Linked DNA regions of Lepisosteus oculatus. The protein of the gene in region 2 interacts with the protein of the main gene of each other region in a biochemical or structural test. Links are inferred from orthologs where the notes say so. Each region holds a gene or a part of one and is shown on either strand. Other genes may lie near its edges. The genes, in order: pbk, dlg1a, kcnj2a and mitogen-activated protein kinase 12-like.

What was found.
Region 1: the proteins of dlg1a (region 2) and pbk form a complex in vitro, tested with the Homo sapiens proteins (2 studies listed by BioGRID and IntAct, with this or other methods). The link is inferred for Lepisosteus oculatus from reciprocal best matches to the Homo sapiens genes DLG1 and PBK.
Region 3: the proteins of dlg1a (region 2) and kcnj2a form a complex in vitro, tested with the Homo sapiens proteins (2 studies listed by BioGRID and IntAct, with this or other methods). The link is inferred for Lepisosteus oculatus from reciprocal best matches to the Homo sapiens genes DLG1 and KCNJ2.
Region 4: the proteins of dlg1a (region 2) and mitogen-activated protein kinase 12-like interact in a test that uses a peptide from one of them, tested with the Homo sapiens proteins (2 studies listed by IntAct, with this or other methods). The link is inferred for Lepisosteus oculatus from reciprocal best matches to the Homo sapiens genes DLG1 and MAPK12.

What each region holds. Positions count from the first base shown.
Region 1 is NC_090697.1:56,986,245-56,994,138, forward strand, and holds the start of pbk (lymphokine-activated killer T-cell-originated protein kinase homolog), read right to left. Parts: upstream 3,380-7,894; 5' UTR 2,685-3,379; intron 2,277-2,684; 5' UTR 2,191-2,276; intron 2,074-2,190; 5' UTR 2,052-2,073; coding exon 2,000-2,051; intron 968-1,999; coding exon 871-967; intron 172-870; coding exon 32-171; intron 1-31. UniProt on the Homo sapiens protein: Phosphorylates MAP kinase p38. Seems to be active only in mitosis. May also play a role in the activation of lymphoid cells.
Region 2 is NC_090708.1:2,033,026-2,041,203, reverse strand, and holds the start of dlg1a (disks large homolog 1), read right to left. Parts: upstream 3,441-8,178; 5' UTR 2,669-3,440; coding exon 2,650-2,668; intron 2,255-2,649; coding exon 2,123-2,254; intron 1-2,122. UniProt on the Homo sapiens protein: Essential multidomain scaffolding protein required for normal development. Recruits channels, receptors and signaling molecules to discrete plasma membrane domains in polarized cells.
Region 3 is NC_090704.1:42,979,689-42,987,800, forward strand, and holds the start of kcnj2a (inward rectifier potassium channel 2a), read right to left. Parts: upstream 3,477-8,112; 5' UTR 3,298-3,476; intron 1-3,297.
Region 4 is NC_090702.1:48,040,532-48,048,030, reverse strand, and holds the start of mitogen-activated protein kinase 12-like, read right to left. Parts: upstream 3,080-7,499; 5' UTR 2,659-3,079; coding exon 2,540-2,658; intron 897-2,539; coding exon 767-896; intron 198-766; coding exon 139-197; intron 1-138. UniProt on the Homo sapiens protein: Serine/threonine kinase which acts as an essential component of the MAP kinase signal transduction pathway.

The DNA.
Region 1 (7,894 bases), on a different chromosome or scaffold from region 2:
GACATAGTGAGGACATTTCTCGGGTGCTTACCAACTATGTTGGGATGCTGTAATGTTTTTAGAATCTGTGCCTCAGCAGTCAGCCGCTTGCTGTAGACATTCTGCTGGGTTTTTGCACAGTGGCTATTGATCTTCTTGACTGCCCATGGAGACTGAGTCTGGCTACCTGTTCTGAAATAAGAACAATGCAAAAACAAGTATCCCTATTACTTCTGCTTGAGATGTTCATTTTTTGATCAAGGCACCATTTTTAACTTTATTTCTTAATGAAAACTACAACATTGAGTTGCTCTTTACCTTGTCTTGAATGAACAACTGATAGTTTAAACTTGTCATTGGAAGGAGATGACACATTTTAACACCTTGTTTCCAAACATGTTTAAATTGTATTTCTTCCTTTAGTTAACATCCAGTTCATTTTTATCTGTGTGCTTTTGTTTAGCCAGTAATTAAACAAGATCTGCAGATAAATGTTAAACAGTATGCAACATATACATGGCTTAAAAAACACAACTGCAGTGTTGAAGGTCTTAATGTTTTGTAATCATGTGGAGATCACTCAAAAAAGTATCAAATTCAGTTGAAATTGACATTTTACTTATAGACTAATAACAGAAAACCCTAATAATAATAAACTAACAACAGTTCTCTTGTTGTTTAGCACTAAAATAAACATCTGCTATACCTGTTGATACCTTAATACAATTTTATTTCTAACAAGGTCCCTCTGACCTAGTCCCTCTGCAAGGGGAACATAATCTGAAATCCTATCTAGCAGAGCTTCACATTAATAAATTGAAGTTTCAACACCATCTGTAAATGGGAACTACAGTACCTATTCATTTCACCTCATTGCACACATCTACAAACCTTTTCATAAGATATACATTCACCCCAGTTCCACATCCAAGTTTTTTCATGAAAGGAGATGCAGGGATTGTTATATTTCTAGCCCTAGGGGATCCATCTGTTCCAAAAAGAAAACCAAACAACAACAACAACAACAACAACAACAACAACAACAACAACAACAACAACAACAAAAAAAGTCATTCTGCCTTTCTTCCTCCTGTACTTTATGTAACAAATATCTACCTTACAGCATTATTTTCTTTTTGAAGTAATAAGGGCAATTAATTAGTAATAAGGGTGATGAAATTCACTAGAGAATTCACTAGAGAAGTCTCAGGTCACAGAACCTAAGTTCTTCACATCTGGGTAATAGTTACATATCCTGAGAAGAAACAAAGCACAGAGAACAGTGATTAAGTAATGCCAAAATGTCTGCATTTAAAAGATACCTAAAAATATCCCCTTTTTAGTCTTAATGATTTAATGATTACACTGTTTGGGTCAATTTCAGCTTGTCAATTACATTTCCTTTATTTTTTAAATTATAGAATGAAATAGATGCACTGAAATGTATCACAACTCTACTAAACTGAACTTTTTTTTCTGTTGTTCCTGTTTGCCATCAGCTAATCCAAAGACCTTTTGTATACAAATATATTTACCAGTTGCTACAATTTCCATTAGCAGAGTTGGGTCTTTGTTATATATGTGATTGGAGGGACTAATTTACTTTTGTGCATGCTTATCACTTCATTGCTCTTTTGTGTGTTTGTGTATTGATCTAGGTTACAGCTGAGTTAGGTCTAGTCTTGTAAAAGAACTAATGGTAGCCCTGTCTCTAATTGTTTTTTTTTTATATGTACTGTAAGCAAATAAACGTAACAAGCAGCAAAATACATGGGGATGGCATTTTTACTAGTATATTCTTTCCAGTAGCTTGGTAGGCACCTAGTATGCTGCCAGTAAAGACATTTGATCCAAAAAAAACTAAACAAAACAAGGTCGTGCTGTTGATGTAAACCCCTAAAGGATTCAGAAAAACAATAGCATCTGTTGGACGTCTCTTCATTACGTAAAATGTAATACACATTTAAAACCACTGATGCAGTTGCTCCTGGAATTTGTCAAAATATTGAATCATACCTACCAGGCATAAACTTTTTTTTGCCAGGGGTCACAAATGTGTTTGCCGCCTCCATGCCGTTTGGAATTACAGTGCCGCTGGGGATAAAACAAGAAAATATTTGTACTTTTTGGAAAAATTACACTATAATTACACATTATACTGTCACAATCTAACCGCCAAATAGAAAGTTTCGATTTCGGGGCTGGCCTTACTTGTATTTAACAGGAGGGTAATCTTTGTACTGAATTTTGATTCAGTCAAAAAAAACTTGTTGTTCACAATAACATTCTCCAATGGACTGGAAAACAGAAAGATTACGGAAATTTATTATACACATTCAGTTTCGTCACATTCGCAGAAAACACAGTGAAAGATCAATGCAGTTACTGCACAGAGCCGATTTTATAGCCGAGTCTTACATCGTTCGGGCTTGTTATTGTTAGAATTGTTAATTGAAATCTGTTGAAAGTAAGTTTATTTTTTGTCTCGATTCAGAAAAGTACAAGTGAATAAAGTGATCCATACAGTTTCGTTTATAAAAACGCAAGCTAATAAAGAACTTCAATCACATTGGATACGATAGCAAAAATAACTGTTTTCTTCACAACAGAAATATTTGTCATTACTTTATATTATTACAGGTTTGAATGCTATTATGTTGCTCCTTTCACGTATTTATATAAAAACACAAGTCAATCCCACTTACCAAGATCTTCCTTTGTCTACAAAATATTCTGGCGCGCCTACTTTCAAATCTTTAGTTTGTATCACATGGGCACCAAACGGCGGCTGAACAAGGACAAACACAGCGTGGCTTGATGTGAAAATGAAATTGTTTCACTTTTCACTCGACGGTTTGCTTTTTTCAATTTCGGTTTGTTGTGTGTCTTCTTCCTGCAGTCTATTCCAAAAATAAGAGAATGATTCTCTGGCAGTTGGAGCAGTGCGAAGGAAGTCATTTCAGGTTTCCAGTCCTAAAACAGAGTGAGGTACGAACTGCTAATGACACTCCTGCAATCCACTAATGTGCTAATAAACATGAAAAATCTGAGTCAAAAAGAATGACATCTATAAAGTAAGACACGCAAAAGACAAACTGAGGATGATACTGCAGCAGTACGTAAGAAACTTCAGATTTGACCCCGGAGAGTCCATTGTATGATAAAAATCCAAGATAGACAATGATTGATTTTTCAAACAGAAAAAATATATATTTCCCTTGGAAAAAATAAAAAAGGTTGCTCTTAAACGTTTCAAATTTAGTGTAAAAGTCCAAGTTTAGAGCGGAATTAACGTGAGAGGCACAGATTAGCAAAAAAAGTTCCATGCTAGAAAAATAAAAACATATTTTTGCGCTTTTGAGGCTTATCCAGATGCTCAATGCTGTTTTACGACTTTTGATAATGTACCTAAATCAAATTTCCTCAAAATATCTTTTGTCCAAAACTTCTTTACGTAATCTTTATCTTGCGTAACCATTGTGAAGCAATAAAAAAATGCAAAATGTTCACAGGCAGTGTACAACGAGAAAAAAAAGAAGTGTTTTTATTGTGCAAAGAAGTTTAGAGTGATTAAAGAATAGCAACAAATTTAGACCGGATTTTCCAAAAGTAGACGGTGCAGGAAACACTCAACACTAAAAAACAATATGTAATAAAGTCAGGTTCAGGGCGCTTTTTACAGGAGTTAAAAGAGGTCTTTTGTCTAAAATGTCTATATAGATTTATAAAAGCTTGTTCTTCCTCACATCTAAGTAATAATAGTCATTTTCACCAAAAGAGGGCAGCACTCGTCTAGGTATCAAAATATTTTAACATGATTTTCTACCATTTCTGAACACTTGCGCAGTAATTCTTAACTGGTGGGCAAAAGTAGTTACTGTTTTATGAGTACAACAGTAATTGTCATTGCATGTAACTACCTTCAACTCGACTACAAGAATAAAAACACAGGATTAATTGCACTCAACCAATATTCTTTTTCCTCAATTACCATTGCTAAAGCAAATTACAAACTCCGGGTTTCAAAGAATATTACAGTGTATCATTGTCTTGAAGTCAGAAGCCACAAGTCAGGTACCTTATACGTCGTAGTAAGAAAATGTTTTGTATTGCAGAAGATAGCATTTGCCCAGCGCAAGCTGAAAAAGAGAGGCCAATGCTAGGGTTTCTAGCATGAAATGGATTAGACTGGCTAATAGGCGTGTGGGACTCAAGCTCTGACCTGCCGGTATTGGTTTCTAGAGGAGTGGGATACTACCTGGCAAGGCAGCAATGTAGCTTCTTATCACAGTCAAAAGAGAAGCAGTTTGGACAAAAGAAGTTCAGTCACAAGTACAACCTCGTGTCCTAAGAACTGCAGACAGACCAGCTGCTACTGTCAGAGATGCCAGATTCTAGAGGATATAAGAAAACAGGATCAGTCAGGAGAAGAGTAGCGAAGAGAAGAGTGAGAGGTAAAGAAACACCAAGAGTGTGGAAAATTTTAAAAGTGGCAGAGAGAAGATTTGAGTTTAGTGTTGAAAAAATGTTTGTGAAAAGAAAGAGCACTGGTTAAGGCAGAGTACGTCTAAGCCTAGTGATGAAACAGTATAAGAGAAAGATATCTGGGTGTCAGAGAATCAGAATAAATACCCCATTGCCTAGAGTAAAAGAGTTTGTGAGAAGATAGTGAAAGAGAGTTTGATGTGTGATGAAAAAAGAACAGGAAAGAGTCCTCTCCGTTTTTCCTAGAAGGGATCAGTAAAAGCGACTGAGGATGCTGGTGAAGGCCCAAACAAAATAGTTGAGAAAAGGCAGGCCACTTTGCATACCAAAAGATAAGGTAACATGCTGTGTAGTTTATAGTGTGGATGAGAAATGTAAACAATGTATTTTTCATAAATTCTCATTATTTTTTAAGTAGGCCATGAACATTGTGACACATACAGGTCAGTTTCAAGAGGTATGTATATCTGTATATCTGAGATAAGATCACTTTATTGGCCATACAATTTCTTGTATTAGGAATTTGTATTTTTGCATACCCCAACTTGGTCTCCATGAGACACACAGACAGGGAGAGAAGCTTGGGGTCAGAGCACAGGGTCAGCCATTTATACAGCACCCCTGGAGCAGTTGGGGTTAAGGGCCTTGCTCAGGGGCACAACAGAGTAAGATTTATCTGCCAGCCGTGGGATACAAACCGGCACCCTTCCAGCCACGGGTGCAGACCCTTAGCTACAGAGCCACCGCACCGCCATGAATCCTGGCTAGAGATCATCTGTCATATATCTTTTGACAGAACCAGAGATATCTACCAATGAATCATAATCTGTCACACAAGGTGACCATACACATGATGACTACGACCACCTGTGGTGAACTGATTTAAAAGTTCTAGCACACACAGTTGGGATGATCTCTGAAATCCTGACAGCTTGTCAACCAACTATTGATGTGACTGTGCTGTCTGAACCACACCTGAAAGTAACTGCAGGAATGAAACACTGTACATAACCAGATTTGTCTCCTAGACTTCATATGCAATAAGAGACATTTTGTGACAAGCTTCCAATTGTAATTTCAGCTGGAAGGTCAAGAAACGAGGAGGATGATTAGAGGATACCTATAGGCCAAAGACAACTTTCAAAGAGCTACAGTCCTTTATGCTCAAGACTGTGGCTCAAAGTGAACAAAGTGTGTATGTGACAACAATATCCCAACATCTCCACAATTTTGGCCTAAATGTCAGGTTGGCAAGAAGGAAGCCATCACTCAGAAAAACTCACCTTGAATCCCATTTAACTTACTTAGCCATGTGGTAAAAAAGTTTTGGGTTTTATTAAATAAAATAGGACTTTTATTTTTATTTGTAAATCAAAGTGGGACATTTTGCACTAACCCAACACAACATCCAACCCATGAGCACCATCCCTACTGTGAAGCATGGTGGTAGGAGCATCATGTTATGGGGGCATTTCTTATCGGTAGGGTCTGTGAAACTTGTCAGGAAAAATGGGAAAACAAATTGAGCAAACTACAGAAAAGTCCTTGAGGAAAACCTGTTGCCTCCGGCAAAATAGCTGAAACTGGGATAGATGTTCATCTGTCAACATGACTTAAAGCACACAGCCAACCCTGCACTGGCATGATTTGAAGACTGCTGTCCATCAGTGCAAGAAAAACTTGATAGAGCTTGAACAGCTTTGTAAAGAAGAATTTCAGTTTTTTATTTCCATCCATTCATACAGGGTTTAGTGTTGGGATCATTGCATTTTATTATTTGTCTTCAGTTTCATTGTTATGCAGATGATGCTCAGATTTATCGTAAAACATCTTCCCACTCTGATATTTTGCCTCCGTCACTTATTCTTGTCCACATGGCATCAAACTGTGGTTGACATCAAATTCCCTGAAGCTATATAGTGAAATAGTGAAAGAGAGAAATTTCACTGGTGGGCTGATGTAAAAAAAACCTGAGATCTTCACAGTAATGGTGGGTGGCTTCTCCATTCACTTGTCAACTGTTGTCAGGAATAATAATAATAATAATAATAATAATAATAATAATAATAATAATAATAATAATAATAATAATAATAGTCAACTTACAGTAAAACAATATTGATTAAATTATTTCCTACAGTACCTAAAAAGAAAATTATTGAATGAAAAGAGCAGAACAGTGGAATAGACCTATACAGATGTATAGTCTGTGCTATTGCTGCCTTTTGTCAGGATCTGATCACAGTGATTCCCTGGCCAGTTTGCTCAACTAGTGTATACAGTATAACTATATTGCTCAACAAGATAGCAGCTATACACCTAAAGTACCAGCTTTGACATTAATATCAACCTTATCTGGAAGCCCCAGAGTCTCTGGCATCTAGTGGATTCTCTCTCCAGGAGGATAACATGACAACTCAGGCATTTATTCAGACAGTTTTGATCAATATGTCTGCACAGTACCGGCTGGTTATCTCTAACAAGCAGCTCACATTATGCTGATTTCTGGAAATCCCCCTCTGCACTTTTCAGACAATCCCCAACAAACTCCCTATGGATCAACATTTCTTATTTCATTTTCCCAAACAGGCACAAGTTAGTCACTAACAATTATCTGAGTACATTAGTAAAACACCACAGTCAAAAACATAACGGTGCAATTCAGAAACCATACTTTTTTAACTTATGTTTGTTTAACTCATGACTTGTTCTGATATTTAATGAAACTCAGATTTTGTGATCTGATTTTGTTGTGCTATTTGCATTTTTTCAGGTTGTGAAAATGAGCATTTAGGAAGGGCATACATAACACTCTTACTGTGAAATATGCGTGCGTATTTAAAAAGTATGTTGCACATACTGTATAGTACAGCACAAAGAGTAAGTGCCTTCACTTTCTATATGTTAGGCTGACAACACAAACACAGGGAGAGGGTAAAGAAGAAGATGAAACTCACATACTGTATATCAATCACAGGGTCCTTATAATGTGGTCATTATGTAAAAGAATGAAGGTGGCGAAATGTTTGAAAAGTTATGGAAAATTTGAGAATGCGACTAAAACATTTGTGTTGATTTACAAAACCAGCACTTTCTTTGTGGTGTAATAAGATGAATTGACTCTCATGGTTTATTTTCCAATTCGGTCATTTAGAGAGTTTAAAGCTGGTGCAATGCAAATATTATATCTTCAACTGTGTCTGATGAGGACTCTCATGCTATCCAAAAATGAATTACTCAGATGTGCTGGTTTACTTTGAAGAGCTGCTTCAGAAATGTCAATATAATGAAGCAGATCCTTAAATGTTGTTCTTTAACCAAACTGATATGTAATTCCATTGCCCTCACTTGTTATATGTTAGACTGTTGTACTTTTTAGCACAAGCAACACTGACAAATAAAACAGGTCATTAACTATTGCCTGCAAGAC
Region 2 (8,178 bases):
TTTTCCTTAAATCTGTTCCTACATTCTTCAAGACTGACAAAATATAGCTATGCATTTAAGTGAAAAGGCACGCACAAAATCTGTCTGCAAGTTACATTTTTTAATTAATTTTCTCCTCATAACGCAGCATTTTTATTAACAGTGTCTATGCATACTGGGGACAGTCCATCTATTATTAATTCAGAAGGCTAGAAAAATGTTCATGAACCGTTACGCTGGCCCTGATACAGTCTCTGTCTCCTGGAAGCAAAGAGCTATTCAGAAATTACAGTTGTAGTCTACCAGACAGGAAGCAAAGCACCCAAAAGGTCAGACAGTGAAACGTAAGCACTGGCAGAGAGCCTTTCTCAGAAGAAACTGGGCAAAGAGGGAGGCCTAGACTTTAAAGAAGCCTGAGTCTACAATGAAAGAATGAACAACTCCGGTCCAGTGCTCATGACACTCTCGCGTTGCAGTACGGCAGATGTTTGAAATACTGTCATGCCAAAAGTTTACCGTAGCATCCAGAGCCCAAGAGAACAGAACTTTTAGTGAACTTGATGCATGAATTACAGTGCCAAGATTTGATGCATTAAAAATACAATAATCAACGTTGGTTCCAGTCCTCACTTGCTGCTTCTTTAATACCTCTCTGTGCACATAAATATTAACCCCCAGCCAACACAGTACCGCACATGTGTTAAACTTAAAACCTTTTCCTTAACAGTGCTAAGAAAGGAAACTTGAGTTTTAGCGTGCACACTAGGACCCTGGATAGAGAATTAAATTCCTAACTAAATCCTTACATGACTTAAGAAAGCTGGCGAGGGCCAGTCTGAATACAGCTGAATATCTGACACCAATATTTAATTCTGTGAGCGTGGCAAAGGTTCCCTGACTGACCCAAAGAGGTGGATGAAGGCAGAACGGGAGAACACTTGTCCTTGGCCAACAGAGGCGTGACTTCACACAGCCACGAGAAATCTGCCGGGCTCTAGAAACCGCCCTGTTTTTCACTGGCTGTGTGGCAGAGAGGAAAGGAGGGCTCCTGCTGGTTAAGAACCTTGGGCCAGGAGCCCCTTCTGGTTGCTCTGTCCGTCGCTGGGAGCGTGCGTCTCCGAGGCGCGTGCAATTACAGCTGCAGGAAACGGACCGAAAGGAGTGGCGGGAGCATCAGGAAGGAAACTTAACGGCACCGTGTGAAGGCCTGCAGGACTGACTCCATCCTAGAGGAATGCCGGAACGCTGAAATATCCGAGCGGGAATCCACTGGAATCCGCTCCTGGGTTAAAACCACAGAGCCAGGCGCTGGCAGCAAACGGCACCGAGCTGGGGACAGTCACGCACGACAGTCACACAGGCTGTTCCCTACAGGCCTTCTCGGTTTAGTCTGCAGAAGTTTCTTACATTTACGACACAAAGAAAACTAGGGTGCTATGGCCTTAACCCTCAGAGCATCTACTCCAAATGTGTTCTTAAGACTACAAATGCTTAAAGCCATCTTAAGAACTTGACACGTTCTGCTGCTCATCTTGGTTTTTGGCTCCACCACCGATTTTAATTCTACTCCACAACTTGCTAGTTGAAGAAAAGAGAAGTTCCAGTATTCCCGATAGTATTTCTAGGGAACTCGGGGGCGCGATGCAGTGGAGCTGTAGGAGTGATTCACAACCACGTCCCCTCCTGCTGCCTGGGAAGTTACACCTGAGCAACACCTGGCCGCGTTGGAGGACCAGCAACAGGCTGCCCGGGGTGCAGCACACCTGCAGCCTGCAACACGGCGACCTGTCCCATCTTACGCAGGACTCACTGCTTTTAATACTGTACTGCCAGGGCAAAAAAAATAAACAAAATTCCCACGGAGCTGAGCACAGCATTGCAAACAGCAAGCCGTGCAACACCACACAAAATGACACCAAATTTTGGGAATGAACAGAGAGCAGAGGTCCCAGCCTGCAGGATCACAACAGCCCCAAGAGGGAGTCGAGTCAGCAGTCAGCTCCAACCGAAGCCTCTGTTTGCGAATCTACCGGCCGGACTCTCGCATGCAGGCCACCGTCACCGTGTTTCTGGGACCCGGGGCGCAACAGAAAGGGAAGAGGGGAGCTCATTCAGAGGAACAGAGGCGCTGGCACGGCCGTACCTATGAGGGCCTGGAAGAGGTTGCTCTGAAAGATGGTGATGACCCTCTCGATGGAGTGGCGGAGCTGGCGGTCCTCGGTCTGGCTCAGCTTCTCCCGGTACTGCTCCAGCAGCTGCAGCGCTCGCTGTGCATCTGCGCGGACACCACACTTTCCGTTAGCTCGCCGGACAACGTACGCACACAAACACACACACGGGCTGCCCCTCTAACAGGTTAAAAAAAAAAGACAACAGCCCATCGCAGCGATTTCACTTTTTCAGTCCCCCCCAGTTGCTGCCGAAACCCTCTGCAGCCCCCCAGAAGCAACCCGTGCACTCGCCTGCCCAACTCGACCCGCACAGAGATCCTGGAGCAAGTTTCAGTAAAGCAAGTTTTGTGGTGTGTGTGTGTGCGGTTTAGTTTTACATTAACACGGGCTTCTCAGCTTCCACACGCACACTGCTCTGCCCCCATGCAAACTCCATTACTCGAGAGACAGGACGCGGGGGTGTGGGGTACCTACACCCCCAGAGGGATGCGAGGCTCACCTTTCTTCCTGACTGGCATGTTCAGTTCCGGCGCTGCGGAGCGGAGCCCAGCGAAAACCCAGGAATTAAAATCTCCCAAGAAAAGCAATCCTCCGGTGCAGCCGAGCGCCCTTCCCAGGAGCAGAGTTTATCCGGGCTCGCATGAAGCCCCGGTGAGCCCTGCGCACCTCGCGTCTCGGGTTTCTGAAGAGCTCCGCGCCGGACCCGGACACGGACACGGGTGGGGGTCCCCTCGTTCAGCGCCCGGAACGGCAAACTCTGGGCAGCGGGCGAGCTGCAGGGGAGGCACACGGGAGCGTGCAATCCTGGGTCGGGGAGTTTCCTGAAACTTTGGCACCACGCGAAAAGAAGGAGAAGGGGGGGAAATCCAGCCCCCCCTGCGCAGTCGGGTCAGCCAGCCAGGAGCGGAGTTAGGCGGTGCGTACCTCCCCCAGCCCAGCACTCGCGTCCGCGGACACTCGGGGGGTTAACGCTGGGGCGGAGGACCTGCAACTCCCCTCTCCACACCCCGGCCACAAATCACACCCAAGCCCCGCTGTCTGACAGAAGCAAAGTTGAATCCGATCCTTCGCGCCGTCTCCCACTCATCCACCCCCTTCCGCCGGGTTGCTCGGCGTTTTTCTTGGGGAGTACTTGTCTGAACTCGCTCCCCCGCCTCGATCCGGCAAATCCGTTGTCAGCTCCAATACTACTACTACTACTACTTCTTCTTCTTCTTCTCTCTCTCAAACCGAACTTCTCCCCGTCTTGTTCTCTCTCTCTCTTCCTCCCCACCCTCTTTTAGTATCTCTCTCTCTCTCTCCCCCCCTTCTGTGCCCGAAATTCCAAACTTTCCTCCAAAATGGCGGCCGGCGGCTGGAAACACCGTCACGTGACCGCCCTCCCTACCCCCGCCCGGCCAATCAGGAGTGAGAGCCGGCACGGGGCTACCTTGGCACGCGGCGGGGGGGAGTAGGAGGGGAAAGGTGAGACTCGAGAGTTTCTTAAAGGCGCGACGCGAGGATGCCCTGCAGCAGACACCTGTCCGCAGCTGAGCCCCGAACAGATAGACGCGTCAAGAGCACACAGCACAAAGCGCCGCAACCCAGAACGCGGAAAGAGACGTGCACGTTATCTGGGAGGAAAAACAAAATTCCAGATCGCAAGAGCTTTTTTTTCCCCCTTTTCTGTGCGTGCTGCGTGCTTCTGTCACTTCATCTCCGTCTGTTCACCCCGGGATGGAGGCGGAGGAAATGAGTTCCTTCTGTCTCGGCCAACCCAGCCCGCCTTGAGCGCCCTGGAATGAGGGAGGGGGTGAGATTTGCGCGACGCGATCGCGAACCGGGGTTTCTCTTGAGATTAACCTACTTCTTTCGCCCTCCCGACTACAACTCCCCCCCCCCCCCGCCGCACAGAGCAACAAGGTTGTAATCTCCGTGTTTAATGAGTTCGCGGAGAGCAGCTTCCGATAATCTGCAAGGAGGAGGGCGGGCATACGCGCGCCCAGGTGAGGCCGGGCGATCGCAGGCGCCTTCGGGTGGACCTGTGCGAGGAGCGGCCAGGGCTCCGGGGGTGAATTCGGAGTGTATCTCGCTCCTCGTCGTGCGAGATCTCCCAGGTGTGCCCAGGTGTGCTGTCAGCGTGCCGAAGGAACCGGCTGCCGAGACGCTGGTTCACCTGAGTCGGTGCAGCCGGGGAGCCTCAGAGGCGGCCGCGCTTGATGCGTGCACCCCCTCCCGCTCTGGAGACCCCAGCACTGACTTTAGAGTAATTACTTCTGGGGCCCGATGTGACAAGACACATGCCCGAGCCCGGGTGAAGGTCTCCCCAATGAGAGAATCAGCCACGTTCAGCGCACTGGCCAGCTGCTTATCACAGCAGATACACAGAGCGATTTTAATACTCAGCAGTCAGGGTTTTTTTTTTTACACGAATTTCATTCATTTAAACAAAACAAGGGGTTACATCCACGCCGACAACTAAGAAAAACCACAGCGGCTCGGACTGTGGAACCTCCCTTAAAAGATTCTTCACACCCGAAGAAGGCTCCACAGGCGAAACGCTGTGTTTTCTTTCTTCTTTTTTTTTCAGCATGGAATGAACCTATGACTTGTTCCTTTACCCTTTATTGTCTTAACCTCCGTTCAAATCATTTCCACAAACGAAGCAACCGACTCCAGAGGCAGGGGCACGGTGCCGGGGAGAAACCGGACGCTGAATAAGCACATAGTGCGTCGGAGTTGACACACTTGTCAGTCAGTCAGTCAGTCACTTGCCACACCGAGCCGATTGCGCTGAATGCGAACCCCTCGGTCTGCGGGGATACGAAGTTCGGGGACGTGCGTCAAGCCGCAAGAAGAAAGGACAGAAGGTCAGGGCCTGGCCCGGTGCGGGGTGCAGTACATCATCGCCACGCAATGCACGAGGCGGGCAGAAGTTCAACTGCCCGTTAGCCAGCGGCGGCGGCGGCGGGGGGTCATCGCAGGTTCCGGAAGGGCAGCCCGGGCGCCTGCAGGAGGCGGGGGCCACCACAAGGGGGCAGGTTTTTTGTGTTGTTGTTGTTGTTGTTGTTCCTTCTGGGAGGGGGGTTGTGTTGCATCGTGTCCTCAAGGTTACCCCCCGCCCGTCCCTCCGAGTGTGGCTTCCGAGACCGCTTCAGTGAAGTGAAGAACAGCGTGCCGCCCCTGAGCTCGCCTAAACGGTGCGCCAATTAACGGCACGCTCGTACACGGTAACTCTTGATTCCCGATTAAATCTAACACCCAGGCAGCCACGAACGGAGGGGCCTCGTGCTGGCTGTAAGCGTGGGGGCTTGACCACTACAACGCTGGTGTCTCACTTTAGGAATTTGTCCTACAGTACACCACTGGGCGGTTTTTTGCTGACGATGTGTCTGTTTCCTTTGTTTTTTTTTTCTGTCCTGAGCGCGGCTGGACTGTTGTTAAAGACACTATCCCAGGTCTTTCCTACAGAACTCGTTCTCCTCCTCCCTCATCAACATTGGCCTCCTTGGATTCCGCACTTTCTTGTCCGGATGCCGGGGGGGAGGCCCTTCACAGCCGTGCTCTCAGACCTGGGGGCAGGTCGCTTCACGACGCTGTTACTTTCGGAGGGTCACGCTTTACGGGTGACCTTCCCACTCTCGGAGTTCCTCGGGCTCTGCTCCAGTGCCGAAGGGGAACAGTGTGCACCAGGCCCTGCCTGCCACCTCTCCTACAGAAGCCCACTGTGGGAGCCATGCGGGAGAGCAGGCGGTCTGTTTCTCCGCGGCTCTTCGTCTCTGCTGTCGTGACGTTGCCGTAGTACTATTCCATACGGTGCACTCCAGCGTCGTCTCAAAACGAAGAGCTAACGATTGATATCGGATATCAGAGTGGAGTGAGAGTCAGGAGGCTGGGCTCATCTTGTCTGTGCACACAGCAGACCGGTGTAAACTCTGTGCTGTAACCTGTTCATTGGCTTCAGGTGCACCAGACACAGCAGAAGTAATGGGTTACTCTGCCATTTCAATCACCTTTCAAGCTGAGCTCTTGATTTCCCAATGACCTGGATGAAAACCCCTCACTGGCCACCAGGGACCAGGACACTCCCAGGTGGCATCTTCCCTGTGGAAACCAGCCACACAGCACAGCTCCGGGAATCTGGAATTGGCAGGGAGTCCACAGGGAGCGTTTTGATCTGCAGAAATATCGTTCTTCCTTTCTGTGTAGGAGCGGCCTGATTAATTCAAGCTCGACAAGAAGCGTTCATCATTTTCAAATGTGCTCCTCGCTGAGGACGGAGAGACGTCTGGGGGAGGAAGAGGCACCTTTCTCTTACCCTGGTGATAAGCCTGCCTTTTTGTTTTTCAGTACGTTTCTGCTTTGTTCATTTCTGTTTTCCCCGAGTTTTAACTGACATTTAAAAAAACAACAACTCAGATTTGCTCATGAATACCAGAACCGAATGAACAGAAATTGACTACACAGACATTACTAGCCTTCCTTGAGAGTAAAGACTCCAATTAATCTAGAATCTGGCATGAGTCCTCGGTGTTTTAAGCAGTTCACGGCTCACGTTCCTGCAATGAGTGAATTAAAAACAGTAGACAAACTGCCAAATTATTGCATCAGTCTTTCTGTTTATTCTGTACAGAGATGCATTTTCGATACAATTAATTAGCAAAACATTTTTAAACAGAAATAAGAGGACCACGCTCGAAGCAGAGGAGATACTGAAACACTCTCTATATTTCAAACAACTGCAGGATAAATCTATTCCAATCAGCCCACTCTTGCCAACAGCCAGATGTGAGACATCTGTCCTGAAGCACTATCGTCCTCTACAGACGATACAGCCTCTAATGAAAAATGCCAAACTATCAGACTCCCAGTGGTCTAATTGTACCCATAATTAACTCAATAATTTAAAAAACCCGTCAGTTGTTTTTTGTCCTTGATATTAAGGTGTGACCGATAACTGAAATCTCCCGTTTGCCAGTCCCTGAGGGGCTGCAGGTAAGTACAAGAAAAGATCAACCAGTAGAGGCTGACATTCGGTCAATGAATTTGAAAGGCAATGAACTTTGAAATGTTTCGGAGAAGCTCCTGGCAGATCGGTGGGACTAAACGAAACCGACACACCGTGGGGAGGGTTGTGATCTGCTGGGTCTGCTTCACAAGATGAACCCTAACGGTCTGTGCTGTCATTTTGAAACAAACCTCCAACCCTTCCTCCTCCAGATGGGCAAACTCTCTTTCACGTCTGTGTTCTCACAGTGTACCCTGAGCTCCCGGCGGTCGTGGTGCAGGGATGGGGCTCCTATGGGGCTCCTATGGGGCTCCTCGGGGGACCGCTACAGGTGTGTCCATCCACAGCAGAGCTGGTTCTGCGTCAGGGCACCAGCAGCAGCTGAGGGCTGGAGCTTTCACTACAGCAGTACGGATTTCCTTCGAACCTCAAGTCAAGCCCGGGAGCTTCCTGACAGCTGATGTACTGTAATGACAGTGCAGCTGAGGGCTTATGGCATTGTACTGGCCCAGATGGTCCCAGACAAATCCAGCCTTGCTTCATATTATAAGTGTGTTTATGCAAACCCCAAGAGTTTTAGTGCCAAGTGCCCAGACCTTTTCCTTCAGTTTGTCTGAGCCGGCGGAGGACAGCCCTCACCTTGCAGGTGTGCTGTTTTTAAACAGGAAGAAGGGAAGGGATTCTCCAGAAAGCAGGGTGACTCATCAGTGTTGGCTGTTCGGTTTCGGAACGCACGGAGGCGCGAAGGAATCACGGGTCCCAGATTCCCCCTGCACTCCTTCCATGTCGCACTTCCAGTGGATTTCAGTCACTCGGGACAGGAGGTTCGGCACCACAGCTCTGAAGACTCTTCAAAGACCTGCGGGCGCGCAGCAGCGATAGCCATGAGGGAGACATTGGTGATGAAGGACAGGAAGAAGGATGACGCCAACAGCAGCCCAGCTGCAGACCGGACGCCGTGAGTGAGATAAGGAAGCTATTGTCTGATCTCTCAGAGGCACCTTTAACAGTCCCAGCAGCCCGTGTGAATGTGCTGCCTGG
Region 3 (8,112 bases), on a different chromosome or scaffold from region 2:
GTCAACATGAGAACCTCTGCAGTTGGAAAAACACTTTCTTTCAGCAGAGCAGTCTTTTCTTTGCTCTTGGGAACCGCAAAGCTTGTTGATTCACAGCAAACCTTCAGGGATCTCTGCTCATCACTGTCCTATGGGACCTCTCGGTGAGAACTCGATCTCCACTCATTAAAAAGCTCTGCAGCACTAACACCATATCCTTTGCTGCCTTTTAACAACAAAGGACATGTAGCAGTGAAGGGCATAAAGTGTTCTGTTAAATTGATATATACAGTAGCTATTGAGATACAAGAGAACAACTTTGCTTTCTTAATAATCTAGAATTTACTATTTCTTGCACATTGCACATTAAGGTGACATTCTTCATTGCTTTTTTCTTCAATTATTTGTGGACTATAATACACATACAGAATATATCTAAACAGATGTTTTCTTGAGAAACTGGCAAAATAAGAACAAATTGCATCTCTCTGTGTAACCAGTGGATAACTTTGGCATTAACACTTCTTTAATTCAAATGATCTAAAATAACTAATTATATTTATGAGCGCTTTTCAAAAATTGCAACTTGATGAAAGTTTTATTTAAACTTTGAAAGCTGCCGTAGAATGATTTCTGGATAGTTTGAAAATCCAAGCTGGTGTAAGGCATCTGTAACTGTCTTATTCAGGCAAGTACTGTGTTAGTGGGTTGTTAATGCCAGTCTCTGAGAGCTGAGGAGGTAAGGCTTGAATCTTACGGCCACACATCAGGGGTATTTGAATGTAGAAACATAAGAGAGATTGCAAACAAGATGATGCCATTTGGTCTGTTCAGCCCGATTGGATGTTCACAGCTAATTGATATGAGGATCTTATCCAACTGTTTCTTGAAAGCAGCCAGCGTGTCAGTTTCAGTAAGGTAATTACATAGATGGCAGGACTTTCTCTTAGACTCCAGAATATCTGGCTGCTCTGATTCCAGAACAGTTATGTTTTTGTATAAAGTAAACAAACAAATAGTGGAGCATGACAGAAACACACAAAAAGACAGCATGGTACTTAACGGGCTACTGAACACAGTGGAGTTAGTGCTCCAAATCACCAACATACATGCATCACCTCTATATTATTTCACAAGCTGAGTGTAGGCTATTAAACAGCAGCTTGAGTGTCACCTGATGACCTTCCTTGCTTGTACATTAGCCACCAGCGACATGCATCCTGTCAAAATCCTGCAGACTTGGAGATTAATGAAACATGACATGTCATACAGAAAGGCTCCAGAGGGGAAAGAAGTACGGAGCATCCTCTTGAACAGAAACTTTTTTTTTCTGCACTGTCATTTATAGTGATGCAGGGTATCGCTTAATACAGCACTACCACACATGTGACTGGTTCGACTTTCATGTAATACCACTTGATTAAACAAAAGAGAAGTGTTTTAACTGTTTCTCTGACTCTGTGATGAACATGCAATGTGATAGACATGGAGTGACTTCTATGGCGCATGCATTTGTTTGTGACCACATACTGTATGCATGGCAGGGAGGAGGCAAATGGAAAATGTTGCATAAACCTCACTCTATTTTTATACACTAAAAGATCGATTTATTTCTAACGGAAATTCAATACCACTATACTGTACTTGCTTAACCCTACAACAAGCTGGGGCAGGTGAACAGGTAATGGTGGGCAGGGTATCAATGCATTCAGCAATTGCAAATGTGGATTTTGTTTGAATTAAAGACCTTTTTCTTTGAACTGCAATGTTGTACTTCATCAGTTACTTGCTTGCTTTGACTAATTCGGCGTCTGGAGAGAAACAGATGGAGAACACGGGGTGGAGGGCAGCGTGGGTGACGCTCTGATAGTGCTGATAATGACAAACTGTGACAAATGCACATACTGTACACTGGCTTGCAGACATGGTGTATTGTCATCACGTATATTTTTCTGCCAGACGCGCGTGTTCAAGTGTGTGAGCCAACGTAGTGTCGTGCTCTTAAAAAGAAGCAAACGAGCACGTAATATCGTATGATTTGGCTACATAACCTGATGGGCTCTTGCTGGCTTTGAGCTCAACATTTGCAACACGGAGTGGAAAAATACTTCACTGGATGCAGAAATGGAGAAAAAAAAGTACTTTTCAAAAGTTTCAGAAACAACTGGGCACCCCAGATTACCTGGTGAAGCCCTTCGGTATTGCTCTTTACGTTGTTATACGTTGGTCTTCTTGGTTTAGGCTCTGTATATCTTTGTGCAGTTAGCATGCTAGAGACACAATGATGATGTTTACCTATATAGGAAGTGAGGATCCCATTTATCACTGCAATTGAATCCTAAGCAACAAGCTTGCACGCAGAAAAAGTAACAGGTGCAGCACCAATAAGACGATACCCTCGGGCAGGCGTTTGTTCAGTTTCAGGGAGCAAATAGTCAAAGAAGGGGTGATTCACTCTGGGGGACAACACTCAGTAAGATCAAAAAATTACAGCCTAGTTCAAACACGGGTTTGTCCGTTCATCTCAGCGGGTACTTGGAACACCAGGAGCGCAGTTCCAGACTAAAGCGCAGAGTGATGCAACCTGAGCTATGATTGGTGTTACAAGTGTCAGTTTGAGTTTATCCATACACCCCAGAACTACTTCCACAGATGTTACAACATGTTAACACGTTTGTAGAAAACCCGAAGGAAAAGACAGTTCTCTCAATCACCCTGTGGTTTAATTTGAAGCGAACGACAAGAAGGTTGCTAACTAGTTCTTTAAACGCAATAACCATGACTTTTTGAGTAATATTTGAAAAAAAAAATATATGTGATTTCAGTATACCTATAACATTATACACGTTGAAACCTGAAATTGTTTTGGTAGTCGTGGATTTCACACTCTGGGGGACGAGCTTTGTTGCAAAATGGATACCAGATAGTTGATTATTTTACAGACTGCTAAGACTTCAACTTAAGTTTGCATGCCAATATTCATTCTAACGCCATATTTTCATACAAGACAGTACTAGCCTATGTCAGCTACTGTGTATCTAGGAATATTAATGACATCTGTAACGTATATGAATCTGTAATGCATACGATAGCACACAAATGAAAAGTTACAGTACAACTAGGTCCTAGGTCTGCGAGAGCCCTTCAGAGAATCTTTCTGAGTTTGACAGCTAAGCATTTACGGGAACTACGTAGTCTTCCAGAACTACCGCTTTTAAAAGCATTCTTGTTTTTTAGGAAATAATCTTGCTGGTAAATGTAACTGAACAGCATGCGGAGCCTTCCCGGCCACCAGAAACACAAATGAGAAGTTCTTACCTGTTGATCTCCGAAGGGAAACTGGTTACCCCGCTGTAAACAGATATAGAATAGATCCCCGGTGTTTATTGCTCTCGAGTATCCAACATTAGGTTGCCCTTATATAATTTCATATATGTATAGTTTTTTTTAAAAAAAAATTACTGTCAAAACCAATGCCCCATTCGCTACCGCGATGACTGAGAGTGGTAATCTGGCAAGCCTACAGTTTCCACCATGCATTTTAAATAGCGTGTACCGGTTCCCCCCGCCCATCTCCCTCGTAGCCAATCGACTTGCAGAAGGGCAGGCGTGAGTTGTCGACCGCTTGTAAACTTCTGTCCAGTATTGTTACTAATGGAAAGATATTGAAAGTGATTACTTGAACTAAATATCTTGAAAGCCTCCTTGCACGAAGAAGTGCTGCTGTCTGAGCAAGGTGTCTGGAGTAGGTCGGCTGCTGACACCCTGGGAAATGAGTTACTGCTACGGTTGCTCTCAATGAATGAGATCCTTAAATGGCTTATTTCTCGTTAAACGGAGTTCAGTAGTTGCCATATTCTGGTTTAACAGCGAAACAGGCAAAGTTTGATTTGCAGTTAAGTAGCGCTTGCTACCAGGTTTGATTTACTGCTGCTCTCTGTGATGAACAAGGAGCAGTTCATTATAAATAATATCAGTATGTTTGCATGCTTGCATTTCTATCTACTGCGGTCTGAAGAGGCGACAGAATATATTCGCTTTACTGTGGGTGGTTCCGTACTGGTGGTGTCCAGTAATGTTAATTGCACATTCTGAGAGTTTACTTTATCTTTGAAAACAGGAGGTAAAACGTGACGGAACTGTTAAAGCCAAGTTGTTAGATTTCTGTGGCGTATCTTTTACGTCTTTTTTTGCGGAAACCATAATGCAAAATGACAACATTACGTAGTACTGTGAAACCGAATCTCGGTTCCCACAACTGCATCCGATCAACAAAACAGCTGCCACAAGTTATTATATAAATGATATATATTTCCTAGTGTATATGTTTTCACTTTCTTCTGGGCACTAAATCGGCGAACTTTAAAATCCCGTAGACTGCATGAAAAGGAAACAAACTTGAGTTGTTAGCTTTGTCTAGAACAAAACGTTTTCTTCTTTAACGGGAAACAGGAACATAAACCTTTGCTAGTAATATTTCTAGACCTCGTACGTGTCAATAAACAGCATTTAAAATATCTTTGAATCAATCAGAAGTCTGACGCCGACCTGTAGGCGGTAGTTTTCAGTTACAGGCTACAGTAAAATAATAATAAGATCCCTATTGCGTGTGACTGTCAAGAAATGTTTTGTTTCTATGTCTGAATAGCATTTGTTTTTAACCACTCATTCCACTAATCACGAACATGGTAACGTTACCAGCTGCATATAGGAACCTACAGTATATGAGTAGTTACTATTAAGGATGTTCTTCCCGGACGATCTTAAATTGTAAATGTCCGCGTTTGTTTTTATTCACGACAATGAGAAAGTTCGCGTTTTAATTAAAAAAGATGGTTAGCGTGCCGCTTTCGTTTTCTGCACTATTTAATTTCAGTAACCTGCAGATCCAAAGACCAACGCTCAAAAAGTTCTATCTGTGCTGACAGCTGCGCCCGGAATGCTGCAGATCCATCTGCGGCAAGTCACGCTTTTGGGTCATCATCACGAAATGATGCGTACATACTGTAGGACTGCACGCGTTTTGCTTTCATCCTACTCATCTCAGGGCCTCATGGTGTTGTTATTATTAGCCAATGGTGATGCAATTTGGCTGCTTCTCTCGCGTTCAGTTTAGTTCCACATTAACTCATTGCTGTTAACCTGCACTCCGTGAGCCCCTTCAATAGGCTACTGTTCTGCTGATGTGAATCCAGTCTTCACATACAGTATATAAAAGCTGAATGCTCAGGGTAACGCGCTTGTGTCTCAACTGTATTATCACGGAGTAAAGAGATATGTCAATAACCTCTCTCAGTTTCATTTACTGAACAAAAGACCTAGATTTGGTCTGCGGTAGCTCATATGCACTGTAATGGTGTGTTCCTTTAACAAGCATGTTTCTCTGATCTCCAAAATAGTTTTGATCTTGATTTTAAAAAAAATCATTTCATTGATGTATGTCCAGCACAGTCTTAGAGACTGTAAGAATATAGAAATTGCCTTCAATGGTGCTTCTCATTACACAGAGCTTGCCAGGGTTTTTATTTGTGTCCATGTGCGTTTTCTTTAATGTCAATCAAAGGATGCTCAAGACTGAAGAGCAACCAAATGGCTCTTAATGGAGTGTTGAAAGGGTTGAAGCATCAGGAGCATGGAGCTTAGATCTCTGACTCACCATGCACATCCTGGGTTAGACTCTGGGCAAGACGTTTGAATGCTCTCCTCATATTCCTGTGTGTTATCTCACACTTAAAAAAAGCACATGCTGACTGGGTTACGTGGGGTCTCCATATTGCCCCTGTGTGTGTCTGCGTGTGCACCCTGTGATGGACTGGTGACCCGCGGTGACTCCCAGTGTCTGCCTGGTTAGGCTCCCCCTCTCTTTGGTTGGACGTGCATTGGTCGAATCAACTTTGGATAATAGATGGATGTTTGAGCTGTAATAGTATTGATATTTGATAGCCTACAGTGAGACAGGGCACCAGTTTGTTGTGTTTTATTCTGGTTTCCTTTGTCGGGCGTTTGGCATGACTATGAATATTTAAAAATGAACGTTTGCTACAATAAACTGCCGCGGTGACATTGTACAAAACGCACACATCACGCACACGTATGTGATAGTTTTAAGCAGAAACAGCTTTGTGAAACATCTCCCCAGCTTGTGCTACATACTCTGTACTTTGGATATACAGTTTCTCTCTGGAGTGCGTAGAAAGTGTTGAACCTAGCCTAGGCCGTCGAAACTGAAACCATTTCCACAGCTGCCTGCTTTGGACTGGAGGAACCTGTTGCTTGCTGTTAGAGCTTAAAAACATGTCGTTCATTTCGCAACGTCGTCCTCATTAGAAAATAAACAGTTTTTTTTTATTCGTTATCTTTTTAGTATCGCGAATTCTTCAGGCGTTTGTTGAATCTGATATCATGACACGCACACTGATCATTATCACTGTGCCACGAACTGCCCCCGTACTTGTACAGAAGTGATTGTTTTTATTACCTTTTTGCTTCTGCTATAAATAACGGGGAGTAATTTTAGCTCGGGCATGCTGCGTGAGTTGGCTTTCGGTGTCTGTGTTTAGTTTTCATGGGCGATTAAAAGTTACTGGGAACAAAGTTGGTACTTCATTCTGCCACAAGGTGGAGAACTGGAGATTCTTACCTAATAAAATACAACGTTACGTTTCCCCGTTTTTAGATACTAGTCATCGAACAGAGAGCAGAAACGCAATGTTTCGAAAATACAGAAGATAAATTTTCCCGTTGTCTTAGACACTTCGTGTCAGAGCTCAGTGCGTGTGGCCATTGCTTACGGGACGGGTTTAAGACTAGTAAGCATTGCATTTGAACATTGAATGGGAGTAAAATATTAGCGTCTCACAAGCAATACTTAGCTTGCAAAACGCTAGTGGTTAATTATCACTTTATTGCAGTAAATAACGTATTCTCTGATACTCTAACCATGGATACAAAGTCCTTTACATACTGTATGAGTGTGCTTTGAACAACATTGCTTGGATAAAGAACAGGTCGTATAACCTAATTCCCCAGAAATTAATTATGACACCTGAATGATACTCGGTGTTAAATGTTTTCCATAAAGCTAAGTACACTGAGAGCTTGCAGGTGTTAGAAGGTTTAGTTTGGCTCCAGGAGGAGTTAAGCTAAAAGAAAAATGAGCTTGCTTTTCTGTAGAGAAATATGCTCTAAATATGTAATCCAAAAAGTGTACAAAAATAAAGTAGGCTTTAATTCCATTAGTTAATTATAATCAAAGGTCAATTTAAACGTCACGACGTCTGTGCAAATCAGATTTTTTAAAAGTAGAGGAAACAATCAAATAAGTTAATACAGACTGCAGTAGGACCCATAATCTTATTTTCCAAGGTAAGGGAAATTGATTAGATGGGCACGATTTCCTCTGACATTTTTTCTGTTTTGTAAATAAAAAAAGATTAACTGAAAAATCTAGCTTTTCCAACTGTTACAATGTGAAGTAAGCCATTTCTTACTTCTGTTGAGATCAATTCCCTCAGTATCTACTATACCTAGAGCATGGTGAGAATTCCAGCATAGCTTGTATTGTTGACATCCATGACGTTTTCTACCTTACCCAGCAGCCATATCACCCTGCAACTCACACCTGGCAACCCACTGAAGCTCAGCAGGTGTGAGCCTGGTCAGTACCTGGATGGGAGACCTCCTGGGGAAAACCAAGGTTGCTGCTGGAAGAGGTGTTAGTGGGGCCAGTGGGTCCATGTGGGTCCTAATGCCCCAGTACAGTGATGGGGACACTATACTGTAAACAGGCGCTGTTCTTCGGATGAGGTCCTGTGGTCTGTGGTCATTAAAAATCCCAGGGCAACTCTCGAAAAGAGTAGGGGTGTAACCCCGGCATCCTGGCCAAATTTCCCATTGGCCCTTACCAATCATGGCCTCCTCATAATCCCCATCTTTGAATTGGCTTCATTACTTTGCTTTCCTCCCCACTGAGAGCTGGTGTGCGGTGAGCGTTCTGGCGCACTATGGCTGCCGTCGGATCATCCAGGTGGGGCTGCACATTGGTGGGAGTCCCCATTACCTGTAAAGTGCTTTGAGTGGAGTGTCCAGGAAAAGTGCTATATAAGTGTAAGCAGTTATTATTATTATTACCTG
Region 4 (7,499 bases), on a different chromosome or scaffold from region 2:
TTGTGGGAGTATGGAACAATCTACACAGCCACGTTGTTGAAACCAACACCCTGTTTTCTTTCAAGAAAGATCTGTAAGCTTTCCAACGGCCTGAAGACCCGTGGACAAATCTCACTGTGGGAACCTGGGGACACTCACAAGTCCTGGAATCTGTCCAGAGAGATGTCTGGAGTGAACACATCCAGCAGGCCAATCACCTGTGGGGAGACAGAGAGAAGAGTCACTGTCCCGCTCAGCACGGGGAGTAACACCACATCACACCTGCCCCCCTACCCACTGGCTAGGGTGAAGAGACCCTTCCAGTCACCACCCACTTTTCATTACCCACAGCTCTCCAGGACTGGCTAATCAAGCAGTGAGTTCTTCCAAAGGCATGGCTGAAGAGAGTGGAGGAAAAACACAGGACAGGAGCACAGAGCAAGCAGGGTCACCAATGAGATCTTCCCTCTCCTTGCCAGTTCATAGGGAAGACTATATTTCTCCATGGGTGGCATGGTGCTACTGCCGTGGGTAAGTATTTCTGCCTCACAGTACCGGGCTCCTGGTTCAATACCTGGGGTGCTGTCCGTGTGGACAAAAATATACTAGTAGGTTAAGTGGCTTCTGGGACAACTGGCCCTGGTGTGAGAGCGTGTTTGGGCTGTGCGTGTCCTGCGATGGGCTGGGAGTACCCTGCCTTGTGCCCACTGCTTGCTGGGATAGGCTCCGGCCCCCTTGCAGCCCTGAGGTGGATGAAAACGGGAGGCTCGGAGAGAGCCGTACTCACGTTGTCGTGCTTCATGTGCTTGAGCAGCTTCAGCTCCCTGTAGGCCCGCTTGGCGAAGAGCTCGGACTGGAAGGGCCGGTACAGCTTCTTGATGGCCACGCGCGTCCCGGTCCGCCGGTCCCCGGCCGAGCTGCAAGGGGCAGAGCCGCAGAGGGACCGTCACACACCCGGCGGCCCGCGGGAGGGCGAGAACAGGCCCGTGAGACACCCACAGTGCAGGGCAGCGGAGGTATCCGGGCCAGGAACCGCTGTCTCGGCGCGCGCCGGCGGCGGAGGAGCAGCGCACGGCCGTTGGCGCGGACAAGCGGGAAGGAGAAGGAACACCTCCTTCCAGACGCGGAGCCCGGGGGCGGCTCCACGGCCGAAACACTGTGCTTTGGCAACTACTCCGCGCCGAGTGAGCCAGGGATTAATAACAGGTCAGAGATTAATAACACAGCCCCATTAATCCCCCTCTCTGAACTGGCTTCATCACTCTGCTCTCCACCCCCATTAATAACTGATGTGTGGGGAGTGTACTGGAGCACTATGGCTGCCGTCACATCATCCAGGTGGGGCTGCACACTGGTGGTGGTGGAGGGGAGCCCCCATTACCTGTAAAGCGCTTTGAGTGGAGTGTCCAGAAAAGCGCTATATAAGTGTAAGCAATTATTATTATTATAATTATTGTTTTAAGCAGCTGAGGGCACGCAGACTTAACGCTCTGGAAACAGAACACCAACGAAGGCCTCGAAAATGTTATTAAAACTCGTAAAACTTACAGAGCTCTAATGAACCTATACTATCTGGTTATGTATGGTGGGGATACCGCACTCTTGTTCTTACCAGTAGGAACTTCACAAGAACTCCTTGTTAACTACTTTTGACCCCCAGAAAGTAGTTGATTCACACCTGTTGATTCTCCCAACCTGAGCGAAGGTGCGACAGATAAGCGATGTGTGAATGACCTTTCCTGCGGGCAGGGCGGGTGACGTCACCGGCCTGGCGTTGCCGGGAACCGGCGGTGTTTGACCGATCAGATCGTCGAGCGCATTGCTGCGACGCCGCAGTTTGAAAACGGGTTGCTTCAGGAAATTTCGCAGCCCCTTGTGGTCTTGTCCTACTTCCGAGTGCTTTTATAGCTCCGCGTGGTGGGTGAACGACGCTCGGGGGCTTGTAAAAGTGCACTCGTGTTTTTTTTACCCTCCCTTCCACTGAGCCGAAAGGGAGACGTTTAAGGACACCCTGCCTCCACCGGGCCAAGTTATTAACCACACCTCCTCCTCCGCTTGCAAGTCCTGACAGAGAGGAGCAGGGGAGTGCCAGACGGACACTCGGCAGCTAGCGTTCATTTCCTAACCCGGAAGACAACTGGTTTTCCACCGTCCACTCGGGCACGACTGTACAAACTTCTGCCTGTGCTCTGCACAGACACGGAGAGGCTGAAATAGACCGTGCTTTCGTGGCTCGGTGCGGGCGTCTGAAACACCCGGACCTGCACGGTCGCTTCGCTCAGATGTGAGCTGCTAGGCAGGGGAGGCAGCCGAGAGGCTGCCGGAGAGATGAGAGAGAGCGAAAGGAGGAAGTAAGAACGCAAATATACATTGCGGGCTGAGCAAATAGACCGGCTCGGGCTTTCTATTGTTCCCTTGCTAATTCAGACTCGGCGCCCTCCTTCTCCTGTGTCTGCGCGTCCCCGAAACCGGCGAGACAACTCCACAAACTCCGTGGGCGGCCGCCCCGCGGGACAAACTGGCGACAGATGTGTTTCTATGAACCCCAGGCGAGCCTCACCACACAGTGCCGTACGCCCCCGTGCCCACGGGCTTCAGCTCCCGGTACCGCTCGGGCACTTCCCACACCGTCTTGTTCACGTCCTGCCGGTAGTATCCGGGTCTGGTCCGGGTCGTCATTCTCCGACCGGTGAAGAAGCCGAGCTTGACCGCACGCCGGTCCCTCCGATGCGCTCTCTCTCTCTCTCTGTCGCTCGCAGCCTCCGGAGCGCAGCGCCCCTCTCTCTCTTCCCCCGTCACTCAGTCAGCGAGTGCGGCGTGTGCGTGTGCGTGTGTGTGTTTGTCTATCTGGTCGCCCTCCCGTCTCCACGATCCCCTCCTCTCAGAGACGCTCTTCCTGTATTGCGCGCTCGGCTCTGCGCCTCCGCGGCGCACAGGTCTGTTGCCCCAAACAGACTCGTGTTTCTTTTTCCCTCGCCCCCGGTAAGAGGGCAGGTGTGATCCGCACCGTCTGACGGGAACTCACCCTGGAGCCGGAATGAGAAACATTCCTCACACGCACACGCCTTGAAAGTACTGAAACGAGGCTAGTACACACATCATCCTCAAGCTCTTGGTATGTAGTACAAGCTATTCAGTTCCAAAGGCCACAACCCACCTGAATCAATTAGCGCATCCACGGACTTTAAACCAGAAACCTGCTTCCTCCTTGCGTTATCTGACTCCTTACCTCCAGCCACCTAAGACACCACTTAACCTTTTACTATAAATCCTAACGTTGTTTAGTTGCCTTTTTTGTGCTCCTCCGCATTGCGCAAGATGAAAAGGAAGTATCAACAACACAGACTTCAAACTTCGCTTCTCTCATTTTATTTGTAGAGTTTGATGTCTTGGCGTCGTGTACATTGGGCAACGCGCTGCTCTCGCCTATATTACAACCATAACCCCACCAGCCAGGCCTTTTCCAAGTTACAGGATTTCAAAACTAAAGCTTTCGCATTTTCTTTTTTGACCTCTACAGGGTTTACTGATCCACCTGTTTTTTTTTTAACTTATCTGTAAACTTGTGTAGTTACTAACTGTACAAGAACATAGATTATGGGTACACCTTAAGCAGAGCAGTGGATACAGATCGCTCTGGCGCCCTCACTAATTACTCCCCCAGGATAACACCAAAGCCTTCTTTTCTCCATGAGGAATCCCAAAGCACCTTACATAAAGGAGAGAACCCAGATCATCCAGCCCTGGGTAACACACAGCAGCCACACCGCACAGCTGGCCAGGGAGAGAAATTGTGTGAGCAGAGGGCCTCTGACAGGCCGCCTTGCTCTTAGGCCAGCAGCATGGAGCCTCACTGTCCTGTCACTGATGTGGGCACTGGGTCTGCCGGCACTTTCAGCAGCAGTACGGGTGGCAGATCTGAAACGATCTCTCAGATGGACCAGTCTGATGTGTCGGTCCTGCTCTGGTGTGGTCACTCGAGGGCGACTGGATCTTGGATGGTCATCTGTCCTGCCGGTCTGCTGAAACCTTCTCTGCAGTCGGGACACAGTGGAGCGACTCACTCCATAGTGTCTGGCAACGCTGGCACATGACATGCCTGCCTGCAGCATGCCAATGGCCCTCTCCCTTGCTTCTGGTGACATTCGAGCCATTATGGAATGCACAGAAAACTGACTAAGTCTGCCCTTTTTCTTGCAGTGACCTAAGCTTTGAATTAAGGCCTTTTTAAAGGTGACCTGATCAGGCATTGTTCCACCTGGACCTCGCTGGGTAAAACTGCACCTAACGAGCTTTCGTGTGATTGGCAAGCTGCAATGCCTCACTGCACAAGCTGTATTGCTGGTCAGAGGGCTTAAAACAAATTGACAACGTTTTGTGAAAGTACATAACCTATAGCTATAGTATTCTCATTCCAGAAAATGTTGCGTTTTTTTCCATCATTATATATATACACTATATGTTTACTTGCTCTTTTGAATTATTTTTTATCATTGTAATAAGCACAGTCAATAAAAAATATACCTGTGCCTCTTATGAATACACAAACTCTTTATTTCATGTGTCATAAACATACTGCATCAAATTTGCTAAAACATACAAAACACAAACCCATTATAAGCAGTGGACCTACCCCTATAGGGCACCATTGCTATTCCTGAATCTCGAACCCATGTAATATTTAACTATTTGTGCATTTCATCGTCATTACGGGGAAAGTCCAGTAGTTCTGATTTTACAGACTGTTTCGGTCCGTTAAAGCGAAGCTCATCATACCAAGGATGTACTGTATTGATAACCCTCAGTCACAACTTTTTACAACAGTGTTGCACAAGGCTGAAATGTCTGAAAACGCCTGGGATCCACACAAAGAAAAGACAGCAAGTGAGAGGTGGAGGGCACTCGGCCCATCTTGCTCATGTGGTAGTTCGGTGGTTAAGTGAATCTAAAATGAATGCCAGATCTTTTTTGGAGGAGCCCAGCAGTTGGGCCTGATTCACCTGACTGTTCACAACTCTGTGTGAAGAAGTGTTTCCTCCTCTCTGTCCTATATTAATTCCCTTTTAGAATCCCGACTGTAAATCCCTTGTTCCTTGTTGCCCTATTGAGTGTGAAACAGTACCCTGGACTCTGTACCCCTTAGGATCTTGTATGCTTGGTTTAGATCCGTTCTGGATTGAAGAGATTAACTGCAGCTCCTTTAATCTGCCCATATACAGCCATACCGTGTCACAAGGACACATTATTGTTGCTCCTCTTGTTGCCAACTCTTTCTAAGGCTATAATATCCTTTTTGATGGTGGACTGAACACTATACTTTGTCTCAGATCTTACAATTTCACCGCCAGGCTTGGACCAGCAGTGAAAACATGATTATTGGCACAGTCAAATGAAATGTATGCTAATGGCAATTTGATTTTCAGATCAAGAGGTTAATATGAGGCAAAAGTATAGAGTTTCCAATTTTGTTTCAGAGTATTATTTAGCATACAGGTTTAGCCATGTTGGAACAATGGCATTTATTATGTTAAAACTCCCCATCTCAGACAAGTGTAAGTACTGGGACAAATGCCTGATGGATGTTTCCGTTCTACTTGTTAAAACGCAGTGGAGCTGTCAATGTATATCCTTGGTTCCAGTCTTCCGGGTTTACTTTTTGGACCTGCCCCTTGAGTTAAACCAAGATGAAGACCAGGGAGTTGTCACCTCAAGCAACAGTGAAGATGAGATCAGAAAATTCCATCTACAACCAACACGTTGACTGCCCCACCAGGGGAAACAACACACTTGACCTTGTTTATACTAATGTACCCGGTGCTTACAAAGCAGTACCTCACCCCCCTCTTGGACAATCTGACCACATCTCCCTGTTCCTACTCCCAGCCTACAGACGACTTCTCAAACGCACCAAGGCTCCAGTTATAACTGTAAAAACATGGACCAAAGAGGCAGAATCAATGCTTCGGGACTGTTTCGAGTGCACAGACTGGAGTGTGTTCAAAGATGCAGCCTCCCATGGATCCCACACCAATATTGACATGTATGCATCAGCAGCCACTAGCTACATCAGCAAATGTGCTGATGATGTGGTGAGCGTTAAAAAGATACGCAAACTCCTGAATCAAAAACCTTGGATGAACACTGAGATCCGCTCCCTGCTCAAAGCCAGTGATGCAGCCTTCAAATCTGGCAATGAGGAAGAACTGAGAGGGGCTAGGAAAAAATTAAGAGCTGGCATAAAATCTGCCAAGAAACAGTACAAATCCCAGATAGAACACCACTACAACACCAACACCCACGACACATGTGGCAAGCACTCTAAAGAGAGCGGGCATTGCGAAATCAACAGTATGAAATGTCTTGAATTACTCCTAGAGGAGTAAGCAATCAGCGGAGACCAGGTCATCCAAGGAAGAAGAAACCTTAGGGCTATAAAGTAAAACCCCATAAGTCAATCTCTAGAGAGCAGGGATGCAGGCATCTTAATTCACTGCGCACTACACTGCCAGAAGCAAACCTCTCATCGCCGCTAAAAACAGCGAGGCCAGACCAGAATTCGCAAAGAAGTAGAAAGATGAGCCACAACCGTACTGGAACTAGAGTTTTATGGACAGACGAGATGAAGATAAACCTGTATCAAAGTGTGGAGCAAGAGAGGAACTGTGAGCTCCTCAGCACATCACCTCACTTTGAAGCATGATGGTGGTGGTGGTGTCACGGCTCGGGCAGGACTCCAGGGCTGGCTCGCTGAATCGGAATCAGTTCTGAAGTCTACAGAAACATCTCGTCTGCCCACGTCCAAAAACTGCTTCTGATCTCATTGGACGACTGTTCACCCTGCACATGACTACAAGGACTCCAGACGCAGCACGCTCTTGACCACGGAGATCAGCAGGGAGGAGTGGAAACTCTTGACTTGGACGGGGCTCCTGATCTGAATCCTGTTGAGCTGCATTTCACTTGTTGAAGAGGAAACCTCAACACGTCACAAAGTGAGAAAGCCACACAGACGAGCAACAACTAAAAATGGCAAAGCGTCTCAAAGGAACGTATCAGGAGCCTGACGACGTCGATGGGTTACAGACCTGAAGCAGCCATTGCTTGTAAGAAGTACTGCATGTGACGAAATTTGAACACTAGTTTAATGTAAAGGAACAAGTAAAGGTTTATTTCATACTGGGAAGAGAAGAAAAGAAACAATGTTTTGGCTGTGGAGCCTTCCTTGGATGTCAAACTTTGACAGCTCCACATTGTCCTGCTGAGGGCTAAGAAGAATTTACAGATTTCTAGAAGTTTTTTAAGCACGTCCATTACTGTCTTCTTCACCCGCGATTACACTGTGATGCTGCAATGAGCTACCAGAATATCCCCCTCCTCCCTACTCTGTGGGTTGTAACAACACAGTCAGAGCAGTACTAAATGATGAACACTTTATTGTGGAGTGGTAAGAGTCAAGGACATGTGGACAGGCTCCACTCACGACTCTGGGTAAGAGGTTTGACATACAGGAAGTGGGAATG